Linked DNA regions of Caenorhabditis elegans. The protein of the gene in region 1 purifies or fractionates together with the protein of each later gene. This does not show direct contact. Each region holds a gene or a part of one and is shown on either strand. Other genes may lie near its edges.

Evidence for each region.
Region 2: the proteins of F33E2.5 (region 1) and C09D4.2 fractionate together in Caenorhabditis elegans (co-fractionation; one large-scale study listed by BioGRID). This does not show direct contact.
Region 3: the proteins of F33E2.5 (region 1) and eelo-2 fractionate together in Caenorhabditis elegans (co-fractionation; one large-scale study listed by BioGRID). This does not show direct contact.

The regions. Positions count from the first base shown.
Region 1 is NC_003279.8:12,589,138-12,595,503, forward strand, and holds F33E2.5 (YqaJ domain-containing protein), read right to left. Parts: upstream 3,215-6,366; 5' UTR 3,212-3,214; coding exon 2,458-3,211; intron 2,171-2,457; coding exon 2,049-2,170; 3' UTR 1,979-2,048; downstream 1-1,978. Other genes in the region: F33E2.6 (DUF3707 domain-containing protein), read left to right, coding at 191-769, 989-1,954.
Region 2 is NC_003279.8:5,488,274-5,495,308, reverse strand, and holds C09D4.2 (DUF4773 domain-containing protein), read right to left. Parts: upstream 3,886-7,035; 5' UTR 3,810-3,885; coding exon 3,542-3,809; intron 3,126-3,541; coding exon 3,021-3,125; intron 2,851-3,020; coding exon 2,746-2,850; intron 2,692-2,745; coding exon 2,602-2,691; intron 2,369-2,601; coding exon 2,286-2,368; intron 2,239-2,285; coding exon 2,125-2,238; 3' UTR 2,046-2,124; downstream 1-2,045. Other genes in the region: C09D4.3 (Protein kinase domain-containing protein), read right to left, coding at 4,900-4,907, 4,956-5,112, 5,249-5,860, 5,939-6,053, 6,357-6,613, 6,667-6,728, 6,904-6,913.
Region 3 is NC_003282.8:17,247,405-17,257,009, reverse strand, and holds eelo-2 (Peptidase M3A/M3B catalytic domain-containing protein), read right to left. Parts: upstream 6,880-9,605; 5' UTR 6,878-6,879; coding exon 6,809-6,877; intron 6,754-6,808; coding exon 6,659-6,753; intron 6,611-6,658; coding exon 6,511-6,610; intron 6,463-6,510; coding exon 6,384-6,462; intron 6,335-6,383; coding exon 6,183-6,334; intron 6,123-6,182; coding exon 5,985-6,122; intron 5,744-5,984; coding exon 5,649-5,743; intron 5,602-5,648; coding exon 5,497-5,601; intron 5,140-5,496; coding exon 4,957-5,139; intron 4,908-4,956; coding exon 4,806-4,907; intron 4,786-4,805; exon of another isoform or gene 4,659-4,785; intron 4,591-4,658; coding exon 4,447-4,590; intron 4,171-4,446; coding exon 3,920-4,170; intron 3,512-3,919; coding exon 3,393-3,511; intron 3,344-3,392; coding exon 3,173-3,343; intron 3,127-3,172; coding exon 2,839-3,126; intron 2,740-2,838; coding exon 2,608-2,739; intron 2,353-2,607; coding exon 2,257-2,352; 3' UTR 2,046-2,256; downstream 1-2,045. Other genes in the region: gtf-2E1 (HTH TFE/IIEalpha-type domain-containing protein), read right to left, coding at 1-124, 177-278, 327-614, 894-1,003, 1,055-1,133, 1,178-1,326, 1,380-1,478, 1,531-1,587 and 1 more; mfsd-8.1 (Major facilitator superfamily (MFS) profile domain-containing protein), read right to left, coding at 7,438-7,609, 7,848-8,094, 8,235-8,341, 8,692-8,832, 8,931-9,033, 9,466-9,605.

The DNA.
Region 1 (6,366 bases):
TTTGTTTAAAGGAAGAAGCTTGAGTAGGTTCTTAGTCTAAAAGCACTTGTTGCATAATACATAGTTCAGAATCACCAAAGTCGTATGCCTAGAATTTTAAAAATTTTCATATCAAAGTTTTGGTAATTTCGAGCGTAAAATGTTTTCATAGTATGGAAAATGAAACCCTCACCGGCATTATTTTTTTCAGAAATTCGAAGAAGCCATCAAAAAATACCCATGCGATAACGACGGGGCTACCGAAGCGGCAACCACCAAACCAACAACAACCACTGTAACAACAACAACTGTACCTCCAAAGACAGATCCACCACGGACTGAACCTCCGAAGACAGAACCACCAACGACTGAACCACCAAAGATTGAACCACCACGGACTGAACCACCAAAGACCGAACCACCACCGACTGAACCTCCAAAGACCGAACCACCAAAGACGACACCACCAAAGACAGAACCACCAACGACTGAACCACCAAATATACCTTATTGTTGGCAGCAACAATCAAGATTATTTGCACCATCCCCACCCCCACCACGAGTGAATAACACGATGCCATTGATTGAAGACAAATGCTACGCAAAACTGGGCGACACTCTGGTTATGGCCTGGTTCGGTAATCGGGCGCCCCCGAAAAACTTCACTGAAGTATTGGACTTTTGTACTGTGGCCGCACTAACTTATAATAATGAGTCAGCTGTATTCAGTGTGTTCAAGAAAGACATCCAGTGTAATTGTGACAAATTGTCTTTTTCACGTTTTCTAAAGGTTTGTGGTCACTGGAGATTTAAGCTTGGTGCACGTATTGTAGTCTTTTGCGGCCCGCCAACTTTTGAAGCCCTTGCCTGCATCTTTTTTGTGGCACATTTTAGCCCCAAATCAAGTCGATCCGATTTAATTTTGGTGCTACAGTTTCCGAAAAAAAGGGATGCCGGAAAGAGCTCCCAAAAATTAAGGGGGCTACTTCACCTTTGAAAAACATTTAAGAAACTGTCTGAAGCCATGGAAAAATACCAATGTAATAACGTCTGGACAAGAACTGAAGCACCAGAGACTGTAACTACAAGGACTGAGCCACCAAGGACTGAACCTCCAAGGACTATACCTCCGAGGACTGAAGCTCCAAGGACTGAACCACCACGAACTGAACCACCAAAGACCGAAGCTCCAAGAACTGTGCGGCCAAAGACCGAAGCTCCAATGACTGTACCACCACGGACTGAACCGCCAATGACTGAAGCTCCAAGAACTGAAGTGCCAATGACTGAACCACCAAAGACTGAACCACCAAGGACGGCGCCACCGAGAACTGAAGTATCAATGACTTTACCACCAGAGACTGTACCTCCAAATACTGAAGCTCCAAGGACTGAAGTACCAATGACTGTACCACCACGGACTGAACCACCAAAGACCGAAGCTCCAAGGACTGTGCCGCCAAAGACCGAAGCTCCAATGACTGAAGTACCAATGACTGGACCTTCCAGGACTGAAGTACCAATGACTGAACCACCAAAGACTGAACAACCAAGGACGGCGCCACCAAGAACTGAAGTATCAATGACTTTACCACCAGAGACTGTACCTCCAAAGACTGAAGCTCCAAGGACTGAAGTACCAATGACTGGACCTTCCAGGACTGAAGTACCAATGACTGTAACTCCAGAGACTGGACTTTCAAGCACTGTAACTTCAAAGACTGAACCACCAAAGACTACGACTGAAAAGAGAATAACTCCAAGGACAGAAGTGCCAAAGACGGTTCCTCCGCGGACTGGGCCACCAATGACTGTACCTCCTGGGACTGAAGCACCGACGACTGAAGCACCAATGACTATAACTCCAAGGACTGAACAACTAAGGACTGAACAACTAAGGACTGATCAATCAAAGACTGTAACTCCAAAGACTAAAATTACAGTCTGGCCTACAGACTACAGAGGTCCAATTTGACGTCTTTCTAATTTTCAACAATTTAATAAATATGTATATTCATTTTCAATAAAGCCCATTTAATGAGAACGCAAAAGTACAAGAAATACAGAAGTCAGTGCAATGAGATCGCATCCACGTTGAGAACGTCACTTAGTTGGTCGAAATCGCTGAGATCCTTGTCCTCGGGAGCTTTTAAGATATAATCTTCTTCCTTGCTCTTTTGTACAACGGGCTCTGCAAAAAATGAACATCTTACTAGACTCCTCAAAGTGCTCGGGAGCTCATATCTCAGATTATTTTAAAGATGATTTAAAAAATTTTTTATTGCCAAACAAGATAGAAATACAAATTAGAAGTCTTTACCCGTTGGAAATCAAGATATGTTAGAGCAATTTGGTAATTGTATATTAATCACAGAACTAAAGAGAAACAAAGAACACATATTTTGTAGCTCAACAAGCCACCAAAGCTGATACTGCCATTAACCAAATTTTTAACGACCGTAATTCTGTTCAACATACCTTCTGGAGCAATCCACATGTACTCAAAGTGATCCTTGGCGCACTCAGCACATCCTTTAGTCCATTGCATGCAGTACACAGGATGATAGTTCAGATGCACAATCTGACCATCGGCTTTTCCTACCCAAACTAAAACTCGACAGCCTTCCGTCTCACAATATCTCCCGTATCTCGCGAATTTCTTGAACGCCTTCGTGTCGAAACGACTTTTACTGTTCAAGGGGAACGGTTCGGCTTTCTGGAACTCAAATCGCAGTAGAGTTTGCTCGGTTTGAAGTTTGGCGACCCACTTGCCGGCGGGAGTCGCGTAGTAGCAGACGCCGGCGAGGAACTGATTCCCCGCTTCATCGTTGAAGTAGGCGGCTTGGACTTGTTCGGTGATCTTTTTATATGTGAAGTACCCCTTGATGTTCTTGTACCAGTCCAGAGGCTGGAAGTCATGACAGTTTTGGCCGATCTTGAAGTTTGGCAAAGCCATTGACACGGCGATGTAGTTGGCGGGGATATCGGTGTCTTGGAATTGTTCTAGAAGAACATTTTTGATCATTTCGGTGCATTTCTTATCGGCAATTGGTTCCTGGGAGAGGGTGAACGCAATTCGATCCTTAGAACCTTCAAGCTTCTGGAAGTCCGCCGTCTTCTTGAGGATCTTCGGGATGGTTGGGTAGCGAGCTTCCGGGTAGCCCATCATGATTTTAGAGCGAGTGACCACGCACTCGCGGGTTTTGTTGTAGGCTGCCGTCAGTTTTGACATTTCCTGGAAGTAAAGTTGTTTGAGAAAATAACTACGAAGGATCAAAAAAATAAAAACCAAGAAATAAAACTATGTACAGTCTGAAACTGAATAAAATTATGAAAGCTTGGAGAAAAGATTTCAAAAGTTTCAAATGTTTTTTGGGAGTTGGTATAACTACAAACTACAATAACTACAAACTACAATAACCACAAACTACAAACTACGGCCTGCAAAAATACCAACTGAAAAATTGTACAGAACTTTCTAGCAATAAACGTTGTTAACAAGAATCAAGAAATAAAGTTTGTGTTACAAAACTGCTGAACTGAAACATCTTTGTACTTTGCACACTTATCCAAAAATTCCAAGGTTTCACAATGAGATAAGAAGTGATAGTGCAAAACATAAAGTTACTGCAAAAACTACAAACTACAAATACTACAGAATCCATAAAAAAGTTTAGGTATACCTTTGCAGGAGAAAATAATAAAATCAATTTTTTTGGAAGTTGTTCCATTTCTGCATGAAAGCCAGGCAGACAAATTATAAAAATTATGCAAGAAACTACAAACTACAGTAATTTCAAAAATGTAATCTCTGTAAAAACTAGATAATCACAAAATCACGACAGCAGCAACAAAAAAAGAGGAATCGATGAACCAAATGAGACACCCGGAGGGGTCGGTTGGTAGGGTGGCAGATGTGTCCGGGGTGACCTACCTCTCCACGGAGACAGCGAGAGAGAGAGCACGTATCGAGAGATCAAGATAGAGGGAGTGGGGGGAGGCCAGAGGACCATCATTGTCCTGTCTCACCAACCCATGATTAAACAGAGATTTGCCGCATGTCTCTGTCTCTCTGTCTCTCGCTCTATCTCCTCGAGGAATAGGAAATTTTTTACAGTTTGGTGTAGATTACACGGGCCGAGTTTTCCAGATTTTCGGTGAAATTTGAGCTTTACAGGAGAGTCCAAATTTCAGCCCAAACGTTTAAGGTGCTGAAAATTTCAGTCAAGAATGAGAAAGTCCCTCCTGGAGGCTATTAGCGGATGAGCACATAAAATCTCCTCGATGAGATCGGCTTTTAGATTCTCAAGAGAGTCCAAATCCAGAACACCTGCTCTTTGCAATTAATCAGGCACCACATAGATAATGAATGCGCGAGAGGTGTTGGTTATAGGGCATTTTAATTACAGCAAACTGAGCCAAAGGTGGATGAACATCTGATAGATGGAGGGAGCATCGTAACAAATTTCGGAGTTAGAACCGGACAAAGTTTGAGGTACAGCAAAACTGGTTCTAGATTGTCCAGAACTTCCACAGATCAAACTTCAAAAACCTTGGTACTGTGATCTCTGCCGCCACAAAGATGCCACAATTCTTCCACTGTGACATAATCTGAGGTCGTCTACGGTGACTCAGCTTCTGACTTGCTTTGCTCAATTTTTTCTAGCCAAATATTTTTATTTTATAGATAATTAATTATCTTGAACCCAGATTTTGGTGGTTTAGTCATACTCAAACATCAATCAGATTCCAGACAAAAGAAACCAACAATTTGTATTAAAACATCTCTATAAAATGCCATAGATTTTGGCGGGGTGAACTATAAAAGTGCATCGAGCGGAGGAGGTGATCGAGCACTAATCCGTTGTGTTTTGAACTTGAGTCAAAGAAAATACGAATGAATGTTTATTGGGAAGTGTCTTGTTGCAGAAAAAACATTTCAACGGTTTTAATCCACCAGTATCTTGCGGTGCTGTCCTCTAAATTCAATCCCATGTATCTCAAACTGGGGGACACCTAGAAAAAAGTTGTCATCTAATAAAATGTGTAAAATTTTAAGATAAACAATTTATTAATTGACAATTTTTTGCTATCTCTCTAGTTTTTGAGTTATCAGACTTTCGCCCAATCTCACCCTAATCACAATACATGGTACAAAAGTGAAAATTCTGTAAGTGGAAAATAAATTCACATCTGAAATTGAATATATGAGGCTTAAGTTATCAGTTAGCTCGGAATCTTCTCAATTTTTTCAGTTTATACCAAACTACCTTGAAAAATAAAAGAAATTATTTTCGAGCACTCTCCTGCCCTAGCCATTGGCGCTGAAATCCTTTTAGCCCTCAAAAAGTACACGGGGCGGAGATTCGTCTCTTCACCGCACATAATTCCACTTCAGACAGAAAGCTCATTCTCTGTCTCATTCTAGATACTCCAGCTATACATATTCCGAGAAACGTTACCTGCTGAGGTAGATTGATCAGCGAGCTTGATACCCCGTTCAAAATCGTGATCAGTATACTTCGTCAGGCAGCTTGTTTTCTTTTTGTGTTCGGAAGTTTGGACAAGGAGGTAAGGAAGAGTGTGAGGGGTTTTTCAGTTTTTCAGATACTTTGAGCGGGTAGTTTTGACCCATTCGTGATGTCAATTTTATAGGCTGTTTGAGCTTGAATTCTACTTGAAAAAGAATGTCACAAAATCCAAGATGCCTGAAAAAACCAAATGGAAACACGTAAGGCACACCGATGGCAATAAATTTATCTGGATATTCATTTTCAAATCGCGAAAGTTTAAAACTTTTTTGGGGAGTCTAAAAGATCCATACACCAAAGCACAACCTTACCAAGATCCCACTTTCAGCCGCTAAAAGAAAAATATTTTTAATCTACATAATTGCAGTGCGGAGGTGCATTTTCAAAATCTTGACTTTAACACATATCTTTTTTGTGCTCTCTGGACTCATTTGTGCCTGATAGAGACGCCGATGAGCAATCAGTGGCGGGTGATAAGACAAAAAGTCAGAAGACAGACGACTTCTGTCTCTTGCTACTCGAGCAGTTAAAAATCTGCAACGGTACTTTTCCAGATCAAACTGGAAAATCAGCCTTGAATTGTGTTCTAGAGAAGCCTTGCAAAGAGTAAATTGATCGAATTTGATAGGGAACATCCGTGAAGATCACTAAAACTTCTGAGTTTCTGGAATTAATTACAGCGCACCTACTAACCAGCAAGTTCTCCAAACCGAGAATTACGTCAGCCTTTATGAAATTTGAGATGAATCTGTGAATCTTGTTCCAAACCGAACCAATTTTTTGAAAATATATAAGTCCTTTCAGTTTTCCAGAAGTAAACTTCAGAAAATGTTTTTTTCAAAAATTGATCCCTAAA
Region 2 (7,035 bases), 7.1 Mb from region 1:
AGAATGAACACCTCGTGGAATTTGATACCTTCTCTCGCATTTGTCACGTGGATTTTTTATGAGATTCTATTTCAAAGGTATGGAACATAATGAGGAAATCTAGCATAATATATTCCGAGCCTTCACTAACACTTTTTCATTCTACAAATTCTGATTATTTTCCGACTTTTTGAAAACCATTTTCCAAGTATTTTTTTTCCACGTGCCAGATTTTCTGAAATTCAAAATCCCGGCTTCCAGTAATTTTATCGAATACGAAAAACTTTTAAGTAAAGTTTTTGGAGCGAAATTTGAAGAAGATTATTGACGTTACATATAAAAGAAAAATATTAAAAAAACCCCGTTTTAGTTAGTTTTTGTTGAATATGCAATTCCGCAGTTTCGGACGAAAACCTTGCAGCCAAAACAAAAATTTCAGCGTAGCTACAGGTATCAAAAGTCTTTTGTAACTTCCTGTTCGTAAATATTTTGTTCTTCTTCTGCGAAAAGTTCGTTAGAATGCCTCATTTCTACCACTTTTTATGATAACTTGGTTGGGTGCTATAATTACTGTAGAAATTTCCGTAATAAGCTCGATAAAATTGATTATTTTCTGATTTTGATAGGTTTACCCACTGCAAACACTGTTTTTCTACACAAAAAAAGATTCTTATCTTCTTGGCGCCATTTCAGGCGCACTTAGATACCTAACTCAAAATAGATGAAGTTGTAACTTGGTTCCTTTATTTTCACAATTGCAGTAAAAGAAAGCTAAATGAATCTACCGAAAAAAAACCACAAAATAACAAAAAACTGCGAGATGAGAGGGGAAAATTCGGAAAGAGAATGAGAGCAACAAATTTTAATTGGCCTCTTTGAGGTGTGATATTGAAACAACATTTGGGGAAGAAAACGGACCTTTGAGACAGCTGTTCAAATTATTTTTTGAATGAATGAAAAAAGAAATCTCATGGACAAAAAGATTGGCAAGAAAATATCAAAAGAGAGAAAATAGATATCATCAATGAAAGTGGAATAAGATTGATTGCAAAGAGCAAATCACAAGGGTTATGGAGGAGTGGAACAAGAACATTTCTTTACGACAGGGCACAGAACACATCTAACTACCGTAGTCTGTACAAAAGAGAACTGTGTTGCTATAATTAATTGTCACCCTGTAGTAAGTTATGACTCATATATTAGTATATGCTTCAATTAAGTTTCGCTAGGTGGCAAAAAAAAAGAAGAAAAAAATCAACTTCAGAGGCTCAGATCCGTTTGTATTTTACAGGAAATTGTTGTGTCGAGACCGGGTATCTTTTTTTTTGAGGCAAAAATTTCAGAATTCCGCGTCTAAGTAATATGAAAACAAACAATGATTGAAAATTAATATTTATCGAAGAAAAAGAAAATAATTTTACAATAAAATACAATAGTTTTCATAAATCCTGATGACCAATGATGACACGCAAATCCTCAGCACAACCCAACAGCGAACAAGCTAACTTCCCAGCGAATAATTTCCAGAGGATGGAGTCATACATGCAGTTTGGATAGAGATCGTCAATCTTTGTTGCCGATAGAACTGCTTTGAAAGCATCGGAAAAGATATGAAATGTTGTTTTTAACTATGAAAATCCAATTCACACAAACCTTCCCATCAGATTCTGGACAGTCGTCACCATGCTTTACAAGTACCGACATGTGATCATACATCCTCTTCAAGGTCTCAATTTCCTCAATATCCCTTTTGCTACAGTCTTTTTTTAAAATAAAAGTTTTAAAAAAATTTCACACATTTTTCATCTTGTCAATATCCGTCGCAAACGTGGCAAATAAAATAATATCACCCCAGTTTATCTACTGAATCCTGTGTCACTCTGGATATATTGTTCCCGTTGAGTACATTGTCACCCAAAACTTGATCATCTCAAAATAAAGTCTATCAGAATCATCTCCAGTAGAAGAAATGAAAAACCACTATTGGGAGTGTAGATGGGCGATGAAATAAGCGAATGCAGACGAACGAGAAGCTTCGTCTCTGAAAATCAAGCAAAGAGCAAAACCAAAAAACATAACTTTTTCTGTTTGATTTGACATAACAGTTTGCACCAAACTGTTACAACATAACATATTTGTTTAATTTCAGATTGGCATTCTAAAACATCCAAGCTTGAAAGTAAGAACTCTTAAATGAATTAATTCCACTTCGAAATCCATGCATCCGGAAAGAATTTTCTCCTTCTTGTCCAAGTCCAACTGAATAAATAAAATTGGAATTTTCGTGTTACCAGAAACAATTTTACCTTTGTGAATGCCACACATACTCCTGCAATGTGCTCTGCGCCGGGAATCGGAAGAGAAAAACAGACTGGTGGGGGGTTTCTCACTGAAAATTATTAACAATTGTTTTTTTATGTGAAACAAAAGTTCTGTGAAATTTATATTTAAATAGCAAAAAATTAGCAGAGTTAGAAATTCGCGAGTTTGAAAGTTGGATTAGTAGTTTCAACTCGCTTTTTCTGAATTCCTTTTGTGGGATATCTGAATTTGAGAATTATTTAAACATATTCATATGGAACCCATTTGACCGCGTATTCCATCTTAAAGTTCTTTACATACAAGATATTTCTTCACTGAAATAATGTCCATCAACTCCAATCGACAAATCCAAGCCAATGGAAACTGGGTTATAGGTTGCATTGACACAAACTGAATTAAAAGTATTGGAAAATTAAGAAAACAAAATTTAAGGAAAACTATTACCTGAATGTCTGAATTCTGGAACAGAAATTTCTAGGCAGCAAGCACAATTTCCGTGTACACAAGCACATCCGTTCTCGTTTGATGAACCAGTTCTCAGAGACAGTTCTGGAAAGGTTTATTACAATTTTAATTAGCCTTTATGTATTTTTTTTTTCTCATTCCGAATTTCAGTTTTTTAAAGTTTTGTTTTGGCTTGCTGGCTTGAGGCTGCTTGAGCAATTGTCTTTGTTAACAACGTAAAACAGAATACAATTTTCAAAACCTTTTCAACAGACCTTTCCGAACAACTTGCTTCGAAGTGGATACTTTCATTTTGTATGAATCCGTGTGCACAGTCATATGAGTTGTATTTCTATTACCCAAGGAAACTATTATTTCATCTGAAAATTAAAATTTTTAGAAAACAAGAGGATTGCTGCTAGTCAGTAAGAGTTTGGCAAATTGCCAAATTTTCGATAAACTCGGTTTTTTTTTCGGAAATTTTGAACGTTCTTGCACTATTTTTCTTAACAAAAAATATTTCTTAACTTGATTAAAATATAAAAGTCGTAGAAAACATTTTGCCTATTTGGTAGAAGAATTTTTTTTTGATTTCAGAACTTTTTCAGATAAATTTTTTGGAACATTCGAATATTCCAAAATTATAACAGTTGAGAACTGAATCAATACCATTTTTAAATGTTATTAAAAATATCAAACCAGTTTCGCAAAGTTTTACTGTGAAAATTTATCATTTTAGAATCATAGGAGTCATACCATAGGGCGCTAATCCACTTTTAAATTTCAAAAAACTTACTCTGATTAGCTCCATCGTCTCCCAATTTAAAAATGATTTTGTCAATTTTTTCCGATAATCGGAGTCTTCCATTCAATTTCGATGAGTTTCCATTAAATTTCACATATTTCGAAACAATATCCCATTTTTTGTTGAGAATATCGATTGAATTAATATTTTTGTTGAAATCTTTCACAGAAAAATCCACAATATTTTGATTATTCTCAACTGCTGAGGTGGAAATTAACGGTAGGATAAGCAGAAGAAAAACAGAAAGAAAGAGGTGCATTTTGGAAAAGAAATGAAGATTTGGACGAATGAAAAGGGAGAAGGTCAGTTGACTCTGTTACACAACCAGATGTTCTCCCAATAAATAAATCAAAGATAACATCTGCGGATATGTTTTTTTTGACAACTGGCTAGAATGATGAGCTTGAATCGATGGTAAAGATTGATGCGGTAAACATAAATTACAATAATTTGTTTATTAATTTCCTTGAATAAATAGGTTTCCAATGCTGAAAGGTGGAGTACGACATGTTGTAAAATTATTAAGATCCACGCAATCGAAATATCCAGCAGTGCTTTAAAATCCTTGAAAAGTTTGGAAAAACTTAATTTTTGCCCCTGTTTTACTCGAAAAAAAATATCAGAAAAGAAACTTCGGTACAAATTCAATTTGTTCAGAAGAGTACAGTGCCAATCTGCTATGAGATATCCATTCATTCTGGGATTTCCAGACATTTTCAAACTTGTTAACCAAAAAATCAGTATAATAATTGGATTAAGCATATCAAATTACATCTATAACTATAATTTCATTTTAAAATTTCAATAATTGAGAAAATAAGAAAAAAGTTGGAAAAGTGACATGCTATATTCTTGCCTTCAAGGCCGGATTCCTCTACCACAATTTTAAAGAATATTAATTCAGATTGAAAGTTGGAAAACTTGGTTCACGCTTCACTCAAGTGTAATCAAAGTTTGATCCAACTTTCCGTCAACATATCACTTCTAGAAGATTCCAGGAGACTATGTTTTGCCAAAGTTTGGCTCAGGTTTAACCACTTCTAATCCAAGTTAATATTCAATTTGCCAAACTTGGGAAAGAAACTAACGCCGTGATAGTTGGAACTTACAATAAGATGTAAAATACTTTTAAAAAAATACATTTATTTACACAGCACAAAAATCTAGTAGTATAGTTGAAACCAAACGACGACGATGATGATAATGAATACAAAAAGAGGCAATCGGTTCTTTACTTTGGATTGGAAAAGAGTGAGAGAAAGAGGAAATTGAACTGGAAAGTGCTCGATTCGATTCGAGATTTGATGAGAAGAGTAGTGATGAAGAACAGTTGTGAGACGAGTATATGCCTATTGGTCTGAAAAATGTATATTTTGATATAGAAAATAAAAACAATAAAACATACTCTCACAGGCACGATCAGTGTAGTTAGTAGCTCCTTGTTCAGCCATAATTGCCATATCAGACATGACAGAAGCTGTTTCGGTGAGCTCCGAATGTTGAGATTCTTCCACTTGCCAGTCCCACTTGCAACGATCAGGAATCATATTTTCCATACGAATCTGGAAAAGTAAAGAACATATTATTGTTTAATTGTAAGGAATATGGAACGTTAGGTACTATCTAATTTATTAGAAAGGTGATTAGTAAAGTGCTTGGATCTAACTAAAAATATCCATCTAGACTAATTTTAGTTACCTCATTAATCAATGCCTTCAAATGTCTGTACTCTGGTCTGATTTCGAATGAGTATCCATCGATCATATCCATGATCGTCTCAAACTGTCTTGGAGTTCGATTGAAGAACAAACGACGAGATTCATTTCGAATTGAGAGCTTCGATTGTCCAACAAGTGTACGATCAGACATATGACGCCATGGCAACTCTCCAACCAACATCTCAATGAGCATGTAGAACCAGCATTCAACATCATCACGTCTTCCAAGATCCATACGTTTGTGTGCTTGGAGACTTCCATATCTTACAGTACCTCTCCATCCAACCTCTCCACGAGACTTCAGCTTCTTGTTATCACGATCAATAAACTTCTTCGCAAGTCCAAAGTCAAACATGAAAATTGTCTTATGCTGTCCATTGTCGCGTTGTCCTGGAGCAAAGTTGCTTGGCTTGACATCACGGCTCAGGTATCCAATATTGTGAAGCTCTTCAATAGCTTCAATAGTTTCAAGAGCAATCTTTGTAGTCGTATTGAGAGTGAATGAACGAGTCGGTTGTTCGGCACGAAGACGGTAGAGATCTTTTCCAAGAATACTGATTATCATGTAGTTGTATTCACGACGGATGGTTCCCTAAAGTTTGATACGTTTTTTTGATTTTGTAATCCAAAATCCAAAATCCATGAATTCATAGTCTATGATATAACTTACATAATCAATGATATCACAGAAATGAACTCCATTGTGGCGTCTGATACTCAACAAAACCTTAATTTCCATTGGAAGCATCCCTGTTGAATACTTTTCGGCTTTGATTGCAACACTTCTGAAATAGTTCATTTTTCATAGAGATTCAATTCAGAGGAGCTAATTTTCAGAAAGTTTATTATTGGTTTGTTCTGAAATTTAATGAAGTGAGTAAACTAGAAAATGATCTACAATTCTGGAAAAGTAATAGGACATTTATTTGAGATGTACGCATAATGCCTCAAAGGGCATTATGAACCCATGGTACGATGTGGTAGTTTTCAGAAAACCACATAAATTTTGCGTGGAATAGTTCGCGTGACGCACTTCTTTTAAAGTTGCCGCGATTTGGAAAGAGCAAAAAACCAAATAAGCTACAAACCTGCCACCAAAAATGCTCAGAAAAACATGTCCCATTGCACCATCGCCCAGCTTCTGACGCAAAATGAAACGATCTCCTTTATCATTTTCAAAATATTCTCCAACCGTCGGAAGACGATCCTTTCTCTCCGGCTTATCCTTAATCGCCGGTCCACGATGACGTGGCTCGGGAGCTGGAAGCTGATGAGCAGCGATGTGCTCCATTGCGACAGACTCTTGAGCCACCACGAGATTTGCTTTAGAGCGTTTGTGGTTCAACTGAAATGATTTGATATTCTAAAGATGAAGAGAGATCGGAAGCTTGATCGTACATTTTCCTCGGCAACCAATGTTGGAGTGTTGGGAATTTGAACCATGTCGGTTTGATCCAACGCTGAAAATAAGTATTTGAAGAATTGATTAGAAAATGTCCAATGTAAATCTATAGACTATTTTGAATGCTTTAAAGTACAATTCATATTTACAATAGTCCAATATCCGCATCTCAAAAGTTCTAGAAGATTCCAGGAGATTTCTAAAACGTAAATCTCCAGCTGAAAATGACTTACCAGTCGCCATGATGATCACAGTAGAACTTTAATCCTTCGAAAACTGAGTGTGATAAATTCAGTATTGATTTTTTTTCCTAATCTTCAAAGTTCATCTGCCCAAAAAAATTCCAACAAGTGTGACACGGGGGC
Region 3 (9,605 bases), on another chromosome or scaffold:
GGCAGGTGGCTCTTCAATTTTGACATTTGGAGCAGATTCCTCCGAACTGCACTCAATCTCCTTCAGATAGTCCAGAGATGGTCCATAACGTCGCTGTTTCGTTGATGTTTCTTCTTCCTCGGTTCTGAAAAAAGGTTTCATTGTTGAAATATAAAAGTTAAGCCATTTAAAAGTACTTGGCCTGATCCAGTACATGCTCATTGTGTGAAGCTTCACCACCGCCTATTGCATTATCCTTGAGCCATTCTGGCATAATTTTGGCTTCTTCCACAGGACCCCTGAAATATTAAGAATCAAAGTTTATTTTTCTACTTATGGCCACTAACTTATTAATATCCGCATTTAAATCCACAAAAACTGCATCTCCATTCTGATAATTGATCGAAGCGATATTTTGATAAGAATGAGCGACTCCTCCCAACTGTATCCGTCCACCACCACCTCCACCCGACGTAAAGTCCATTTGTTGTTGCTGTAGTTGCAGTTCTTTGTCATCTTCCAAATATTTCGTGATATCCGGTTCAAGGAGATGCGGAGCCAATTGGATACCGTTTAGAGCACAAATATGAGAGAAGAGCGGTGTCATTTGTTCGTTGAAGCGTGCCACAGCGGTTCTGGAAATTTAAAAAATAAAAAAAAATATATATGCAGATACAGTAACCCGAAGTTTTTTTTTGAAAGGAGACCCTAAACAGTAAAATTTCATCAATTTTTTGGAGCTCAAAATTGCAAAAAATTTTAGAGTACTGTAGATTTAATTTAACAAATTCAAAAATCTGTCAATTTGAAAATTTTTCAATTCGTCGCTTTGAGCTCGATCAGAATTCATAATAATTTTCGCTTCAGAACCCAGAAATTTCCGAATTTTCAGATTTTCAGGATATTCCAAGTACCTCGTCGTCCTCGATGGTACTACCGTCTCATCCGCCAACACATCTCCGTGGCACCGCCAGCAAATAAGCCGCCCGCTTTCAGCGTCCAATATCCGATTGATTTCCAGCATCTAAATATGATTTTTTCAGAGAATTCTTCTATTTTAAAAGAATTTTCTCACATCATAAGAACTCTGACACGCTCCACATCGATAGTGAGCTCGATTTGTGTCCATTTGCTCTCGGGACTCGAGTTTTTGTCTGGAAAATTTTAAACTTTCAGTGAAAAAATTATATTTTCACACCTCATGTGATCGATTTTGTAGCGCACCACGTTGAGCACAGCCCGATAGTTTATATAGTAGAAAATGATGGAAACCGTTCGATTATTCTCGTTTTTCTGCGTAATCGTGCGCTCTTTCACGAGTTTTTCAGCTTTCAGAGACGCGAGGAGCTGAAATTGTCAAATTTTTTGAATTTTCGAATTTCAAGCAAGTTTCAGCACACCTGTCTGAGCATTTTCTGATCGAATTGTATTCGGGCTTTGAGATTTTCCTCGCGAATGCACTGGGCTCGCATTATGTGGTAGACGATGATAAAGTGCTCCTGGAAAATTAAAAATTCAAGAATTTTTTGAAAAATCAGATTTTTCGCTTACACTTGAGAAGAAGTTCTTTACCACCATCAGCAATATAGTGTTGAGTGCCTCCGGAATCTGAAAAAGACGGTTTTTAGTCAGATTTAGTGGGTTTTTTCGCGGAAATGTTACCTCATCCACCACTTGGGTCTCGGTGTGAGCCGATGATGAGCCGGAGGTCGCTGGGCCAGATGACATGCCTGGAAAAATTTAGTTTTTGGAATAAATTTTAATTTTTGATCAATAAATTATAATTTTTGTTCAAAAAAGTGAGCAAAATTTAAATTAAAAATAATTCAGCTCAAAAATATCCAAAAAAAAAATGGAATAATCGTTTTTTTTTTAATTTCCAAAAAAAAGTAAAAATTTCAAAAATTGGTTTTAAAAAAATAACACAATGTCCTGGAAAAGGTAATTTTCAAAAACAAATTCAATTTTTTTCCTGTTAAATAAAAAACATAAACATTTTTTTCAATTTCAAAACAAAAATATTTCAATCGTTGGAAAACGATATCTCAAAAAACGATAAATTTTCAAAAAGAAAAGAATTCATTACTGAAGTAAAACAAAAATTAAAAATGAGGGGAAAAACATTAAATAACAGAGAACAATCTATGAGACCCTATTTCTTCTTAAGACTATCAAAAAAATATAACAAAAACAGAAAAAAAATCATCTAAACATATGTGAAAACCCGGTGAGAAGCGAAAAAGAGATGGAAAATCTCCAAAAACCGGGGGGGAATTTTCATCGTCTCTGATTCTCCGACATTTCCATTTCATCTTGAATGGCCATTGGTGGGGCGTAGTGATCACAGATGGCTCCGACTGATGGATTTCGGCCCTGAAAAAATGGAAATGAATATTTTTCTTTAAAAAAAATTAAATAATGGCTTCATTTTTCTGGAATTTAAAAAATGAAAGTAATTGTTTGGAACTCTTTTAGAATTCTTCTTGTAAAAATAGAGTTCAATTAAAGCGTTCTAATTTTAAAAAAATACGATTTTTTGAGATTTTTCCATGCAGAATTTAAGATTTTCAGCTTATTTTAATGCCGTTTTTCACCAATTTTTCAGTCAAAAAAAGAAGATTCCCCTACCTGGAATCTTTTGAACAATTCCTTCGCAACATCTCCACTTCCTCTATTCAATATTGTCGTTTTCAATCGTTCTCCCGTTTGCACTTCATTGTCTTCCTCGTCAAATGTCTCATGGATATCTAAGGCGAGCATCTGGAAATTGAGCCAATTTTCAGAAATAATTGAGATAATTTTTTTTAAAAGTATTTATCAAAATTCTGATGATTTTCTAACACTGGAAAACCACCTCACCTCAGCCCACAGCTTCCTATAATACATGCTCATATGTGGTTGAAGAGCAAAAATCGGTGTGAATGAGCACGGTTGATAGTCATTTTTGGCTCTTTTGAACGGGAAATACTCCTCATACATTTGTTTGTACATATCCAGCCAGAACTTTTGCTTCCTGTCCTCCATCTCGTAAATCGACAGATCAAAGTCCGACCAGAAGAGGGTACGGTAGGTTTCCCAGAGTGATGCTCGTGAGATCGTAAGAGCCACCGAGTTTGCGTGCTCTTCGGTCAACGATTGCTTTGTGATCTGAAACAGAAATTCAGACATTTCAAGAATTTTCGACTAAAAATACCTGATGCGGAGAGCTAATTGTTGCAAGGAGATTGGGCTTCGTGACGAACATTTGCAAGAATGTTGGGAACATGTCAGCTGCATCCCAGTCAGATGCGTAGAATGGAGACCATGGAATTGAAATATCACGGTATGGAGATTGTGATAGAAGAAGCTGCACACTTCGGCCAAACTGGAAATTTCGAAAATTTAAATTCAAACCCAAAATTTCGACTACTGACATGGAAAAGAAGTTGCTGAAGCTGCTGGTGATGGAGAAGAGACGGTCCGTTGGAAGTTGGAGCAATTGCTGAGCCGATGAAGTACACAATCTTGTCGAGACCTCGTTCTTTGGATTCCGCTGGAAATATATTTGTTAACTAACCTGTGTTGTTTTTTGCAGTTATTTTTGAACAGAATTTATTCTATTAACGTTTTTCGAAAGAATTTTTTTGCAAAAATAATTTGAAAAAAAAGCCAGATAGTCTGAAACGAGGAGAATTTTTTCCTCTAATTTTTATTCTAAAAAGACAATTTTTAAAATTCCCTCGCTTTTTCTGTCTTTTCATATTTTTTTCGATGGAAAAAATGAAGTGTTCCAAAAATACAAAAATCAAAAATTTTCAGTTTTCAAACAAAATCGAAACTGAATTTTCCGACAGGAAATGTCTAAATTCTAATTTTTTTCTAAAAAACTCGATACAAATTCAGGTGATTTTCCAAATTTTTTCTCGAGCTCTCCAAATTTTCAGCATTCTTCAAAACCTACGTCTCGCAAGCATAACATTCCATCCTCCTCGTTTATTCTGTCGATCATATGGATCAATGTATAATCTTCCATAGTGTTGTCCGCTGAACTTGTCGCCAACCGAGTAGATCCGGACGTCAGCATGCGCTTTTTCGAGTCCCTTATCGGTGATATCTTTGAATTCCAAATTGAAAATATGTCCGATGACTCCCATTATATTTTGGAATGTTGGCCAGAATGGGAAGTGATTCATTAGGTCCAGTGGGTTGACACTGAAAAAAATTAGTTAAAAATTTTTTTAAAAATGTTCTGAATACCTCTAAAATTACCGAAAAAATGAAAAGTTTGAGCTTTTCAACTGAAAAAAAAATCTGAAAACCTTTTTTTTTGAATTTCCGATAATTCGTAACACTTAGAAGTTTAGAAAAAAAAAGCTTCAAATCATCCGAATACCTCTAAAAATACCAAAAAATTGCAAATTTTACGACTTCCCCTTTGAAAGGCAGGCGTAGGCCGGCAGGCAATACTTTTTCAAAAAAAAAACCTACTCATAATGATGCTCTGCCTCTTTTCTGCACACATATGGCATATCATAGGCCTGAAGCTCGCCAGTGATAAGCTCACAACGTCCAGCCCATGCGGACCAGGACTCCATACGATCAATCACTACAGGCCGGATTCTACGTTGAAGACTGCAAGAAAAAAGTTGATTTAATTTGGAATATCATGCTTTTCGGTATAAATAAAAATTTTTTGTCAAAAACTGTTAGATTTGGGTTCTTTTTAAATTTTTTTCCGGCTATTTTTTGGTAAAATGTCAAAAGCTGAATTTAAAATAAAATCTTCACATTTATGGAAATTTTCAGCGTTAAAAAAACAATTTTTCAGTATTTTTTCTAAAACTCACGCATTGATAAATCCTCTAACTGTCTCCGGCGAGGCAGCCATTTTATTCGCAAGTCGGTGCTCAGCAACAGATGAATATCCAAGCGTTTTGGCGAGTCCTTCGCTGAAAAATTCAGCCATTTTTCAATTATTTTTCCTTATCGGATTCCTACTTATTATGTCTCAACTCCTCGATATTGATTGAATTATTGTAGAAATCATGATCAAATCCAGCTTTACTCGTCCATTTCTCCCATGCGGTGGCTCTCAATTGACGATCTCCACAATATTGCATAAATGGGTAGATTGTGTGAGGTGTCATACGTCCACGCCATGGTCCTGATTCCCAGTTTTGTCTGAAAAAAGAAATTAGTCTGAATTAGTATTTAGTTTAAAGTGGGAATATTTGAGTGAAATTGGAGAATTGAGCATTTTTAATGGTTAGAGAAAATTGAAAAATTTTACAGAAAGTTCTTACCTTTTCACTTTTTTTTGCAGAAAAAATTACAATTTCGTCTAGTACTTTTTGATAATAATTCTCACGATTTTCTGATAATTTTCAATTTTTTTCTAGTGAAAAGCATAAAAATTGTGAAAATTTGGAGCTTATTTTCGATTTTTAGCTTAAAAATACCACTTTTCAACGAATTCTCAACAAAATTTCGCCAATTGCTACTAAAAAAATTTCGCCAATTGCTACTAAAAAAACCTACTCATCAACAGCGAGCTTCTGTAAAACATGTGGAGGTGCATCTTTTATCACTTTTTGGTCCGTCACGACAAATGTCTGCTGATCGTTGGTTGACATCACGCCGGTGCTGAAAAAAAGCCGCTTAAAAGCTGAAAACTTCCATTTAAAACTCACATATACTTGCTCCTGTACTCGTCGACAAATTTGCTCCAGGATCCGAGAACCTTACGCGTTTTATCGTCGTGTTTGTCCAATCCAGAAGCTTTTATCTGCAAATTGATCTTATTTCAGCCAGAAAATCCGCGAACTTAGCTGAAAAATTACAATTTTCCTGGGAAAGTTAGACGGAATATCCTTTTGCTGAGTTAAAATCGATGCTTTCTATTTAGCAAACTACAGTCTCTATGATTTCTGAGCAGAAATCAAATTTTTTAATTTCAAAATCGGTGAAAAACACTTTTTCCAGTCAATTTCAGGCATATTCTCGTTAGAAAATATTTAAAATGGCACCTCGAGCAAATACCACTCCAATAGTCTCGATTGCCACTCGGAAAGTCCATCTTTTGCCTCATAAAGCTGCTTGATGGCGTCCTGGAAGTCCTTGTTGGTTAACTTCTCCATTTGATCGCGGGCACACATGATTTTGATCTAAAATTTAAAAAAATTTAGGTTTTCCACTTAATTTCATGAAATTTTCTGTTATTTTACATGGTGAAGGTCCGCATCGAAGAGTTTTCGGTTACAATCAGGCCAATCCGTGAGCATTTTCAGCACAAGTGTCTGGAAAGCGAAATTGACCTCGTATTCCTCCGTAAGCAATGGTTCTACGACGTTTTCAAACTTTCGCTCTTCTGCTGGTACTGAAAATACATTTGAAATTGGTTTTTTCTCAGATTTCACAGATCTTACACGTTGCAAGATGCTCCATGTGCTCCATTACAGTGGCTCCGTAGTCCATGAGCATTCGAACGGTTCCTTCATACAGTTCCTGAAGAAAAACCAATAATTTAAAGTTTTATCCAGAAAAATTAGCTACCCTGGGCTCGGCGGTGGCCAATTTCGGCCAATCTTCATTTTTAGCGATATTGTACATGAAGCAGTTGTTCTCCACGGTTTCCTCGGGAATTACGGGAAATCTGAAAATTAAAATGTAAATTTTTATCACTTTTTCGAAAAAAACTCACACAACATAATATCCAACCACTCGCGCCGGCGTCTCATTCCCCATTTTGAACAGAATCTGTCGTTTTTGTTGCTTTTGAACATTTGTTGTTGGAACCTGTGTGTGGAAAAATCAGTTTTAAGCTATTTTTAATCAGTGGAAAATGACTAACAATCAGCCCATTGGTTTGATTATGGATTTTTCGCGTCAGAAACCTCCCGAGGGGTATCCTACGGAACATTCCTGCAAATTATCTATTTAAAATTTCTTATTTTTTGTTTTTTAATAAATTCTCGAGAATTCTCCTGAATAAAATTGTCCAAACATGGTGAAAACTTGATTAATGCGGAGAAAAATAAAATAGAAACGATGCACGGTGGTTCAGTACTGAACGCAGAAAATGAGTACTGAACGCAGAAAAAAATCGCGATGAACGCAGAAAATGCAAGCGCGCTCCATTGACGCAGACAGCTGCTGGCGCACATCGCGAGAGTTGACGCACAATTGGATTTTGGAGGCAGTTTGAATCGAGTTTCTGAGAAAAACTCTACACACGTATAGAGTTCCCCACCCATTTTCGAACCAATCAGCGCTTATTTTTCGAAAAAATTGAACAAAGGAATATGAAATACTTATGAGTTTATTTAAATTTAAAGAAAAAAAAAACGACTAAACATATGAAAATTCGAATAGTGAGATCTTGTGGTACATCTAAAAAAACAATTGAAAATGTGTAAAAATGAATTAAAACTTGGTTATGTATGTTAGAATCTTGATTCCGTGTTTTCATGAAAATAGAGTTTACATATAATAATAAACTCCATTTTTATACTCTGCAGACTTTCCAGACTTTGGTCTTAATTTCAATGGAACAAGTCTTTTGTAGAATACACCCATCAGAATGAATGCAATGAAAATTGTGGTTGACTGTAGGATGATGACGTATTTGTAGCCGGAATGTTGGAATAGGAATCTGAAATTTTTTTTTTTAATTTTACTCTTTGAGGATGGAGAATATCAAATTGAACAGTACTAGAAGAAAAATCCGTTTTCGTGAAAAAAGGTTTTTGTGATAATTTTTTTTTCTGTTTCAAGTTTTTAACAAATAAAATTTAAACTCTTTCTCGATACTAATCCTTCTAAATACTCATGCATCCAAACTCAAATTCAGACTATTTTAAATAATTAGTTTAAAGTCAATTAACACTTACGTGATAATAATCGAAGCAACAAATGGCGTGATACTTCCACCAAAACTGAACAATCCCTGCATGGTTCCCTGCTTCCGTGGACCCAAAATCTCTGAATAAAGTGCGGCGGCCGGTGACTCGACAAATGGGAAAGCGATTCCGAAAAAGAAGACAAATGCAAAAATGTAGAGAGCCATAGGGACACGAGTTGTCGTGTTGCACCATGAATATGAATCAAGGCATCCACCGACAATAGTTGTGTTGGAACCTAGAATCAGTATAATTTAAAACTAAAATGTTTCACATTTTCCAGAACAGTCACTGTGGAACATATTCTAGATTCCATATATTCAAATAAATCATACTTCTGAGAAAACTTTGAAAATCAATTCGCGGCGAGACCCTTACCTGGCGGCAAAAAGTGCAGAGGTCCCGAGTAGAACCACCATGGATAGTTGACCACGTGGAATGCGACGAATACACCCAATCCGAATAGAATTTGAATTCTTTTGTCACTGAAAATATGTTATAACAATATGAGACAAAAAGCAGTTAACAATTAATCGAAAAAAAATCTTCCAACTGAAATAGGGGATGTGAAACTGTTAGATTTTCTATTTGTTTGTAAATTTGAAAATTTGCTGAAAAAAAATTTTAACACGCTGAGCGCCTGTCACAGCAATAATTCACAATATTTTTTTTTAGAAAACTTCGTAAGCCCGTAAAGATCAGTGAACACGAAATGCTGTCCAAGCTGAAAGCTGGTCAGTGAAACAGTGAAAAAATTGAAATTTTTTTAGAACATAATTCCCCGTGTCTATTTAATTTGAAAAATCACAAGTATTCTAGAAAAAAAAGAACTCACATCTTTCCAATTCTAGTTTTTCCAATTCCAAAATTAATCAAAACCGACACAATACAGGTAATTGATTCTATAATCCCGTTGTACAAAATCGCTTGAGAATCTTTCCAATCGTAGAGAACAGTTGTCAATGGAGTAGACATTCTGAAATTTTTTTTTGATTAAAGATAAGTGGAACGCTTAGATGTTTTAAAAGAAATTTTAGTTTTGAAACAGGGGAAAAATTCGAAAAAAAAACTTACACTTCAATATTTGTAGCAATCATACTAACAATCATGTACAAATAAATACAAACTAATGCCGGAACTAAATCGAATTTCGGCACCACAACATAGTCCGCATTGCCTGAAAAAAAAAAATGAAAAATTATCTTTTTTTTAATAAACGTATAGTTATTACGGGAACAATATGATAATGCGTACTTGGAGCATTTTATTTGACGCGCGATATCTCTTAGCGAAAACTACAGTAAGAACTCAAATAGCAATAGTTATTTGAGTTCATACTGTAGTTTTCGCTAAGAGATATCGCGCGTCAAATAAAATGCTCCAAGTACGCATTATCATGATTTATTGTTCCCGTAATAACATAATATTTTTTACATTAAATCAACTTTTAAAACTTTTTCTGAAGATTGGCAAGGCAAGTTGCTGCAACTTTTAACGAAAATTGGAAAATACAACAATAGAATAAGTTTAAAAAACTTAGACTTAACCGAAATTTTTGAAACGGAAATTTTAATATTTTTCTGCAGTTTCTTTTCCCATCAAAACTTACATTTCTCATCACTTGAATTTTTATCAATAATTCCAGCATAATCTTCCTGAAAGAAGACCAACATCAAAACAGCTGCAAGCACACAAATGAACGCCATCAGGTAAGCTGCCGAAGTGTACATATTGATTTTAACTATCCAA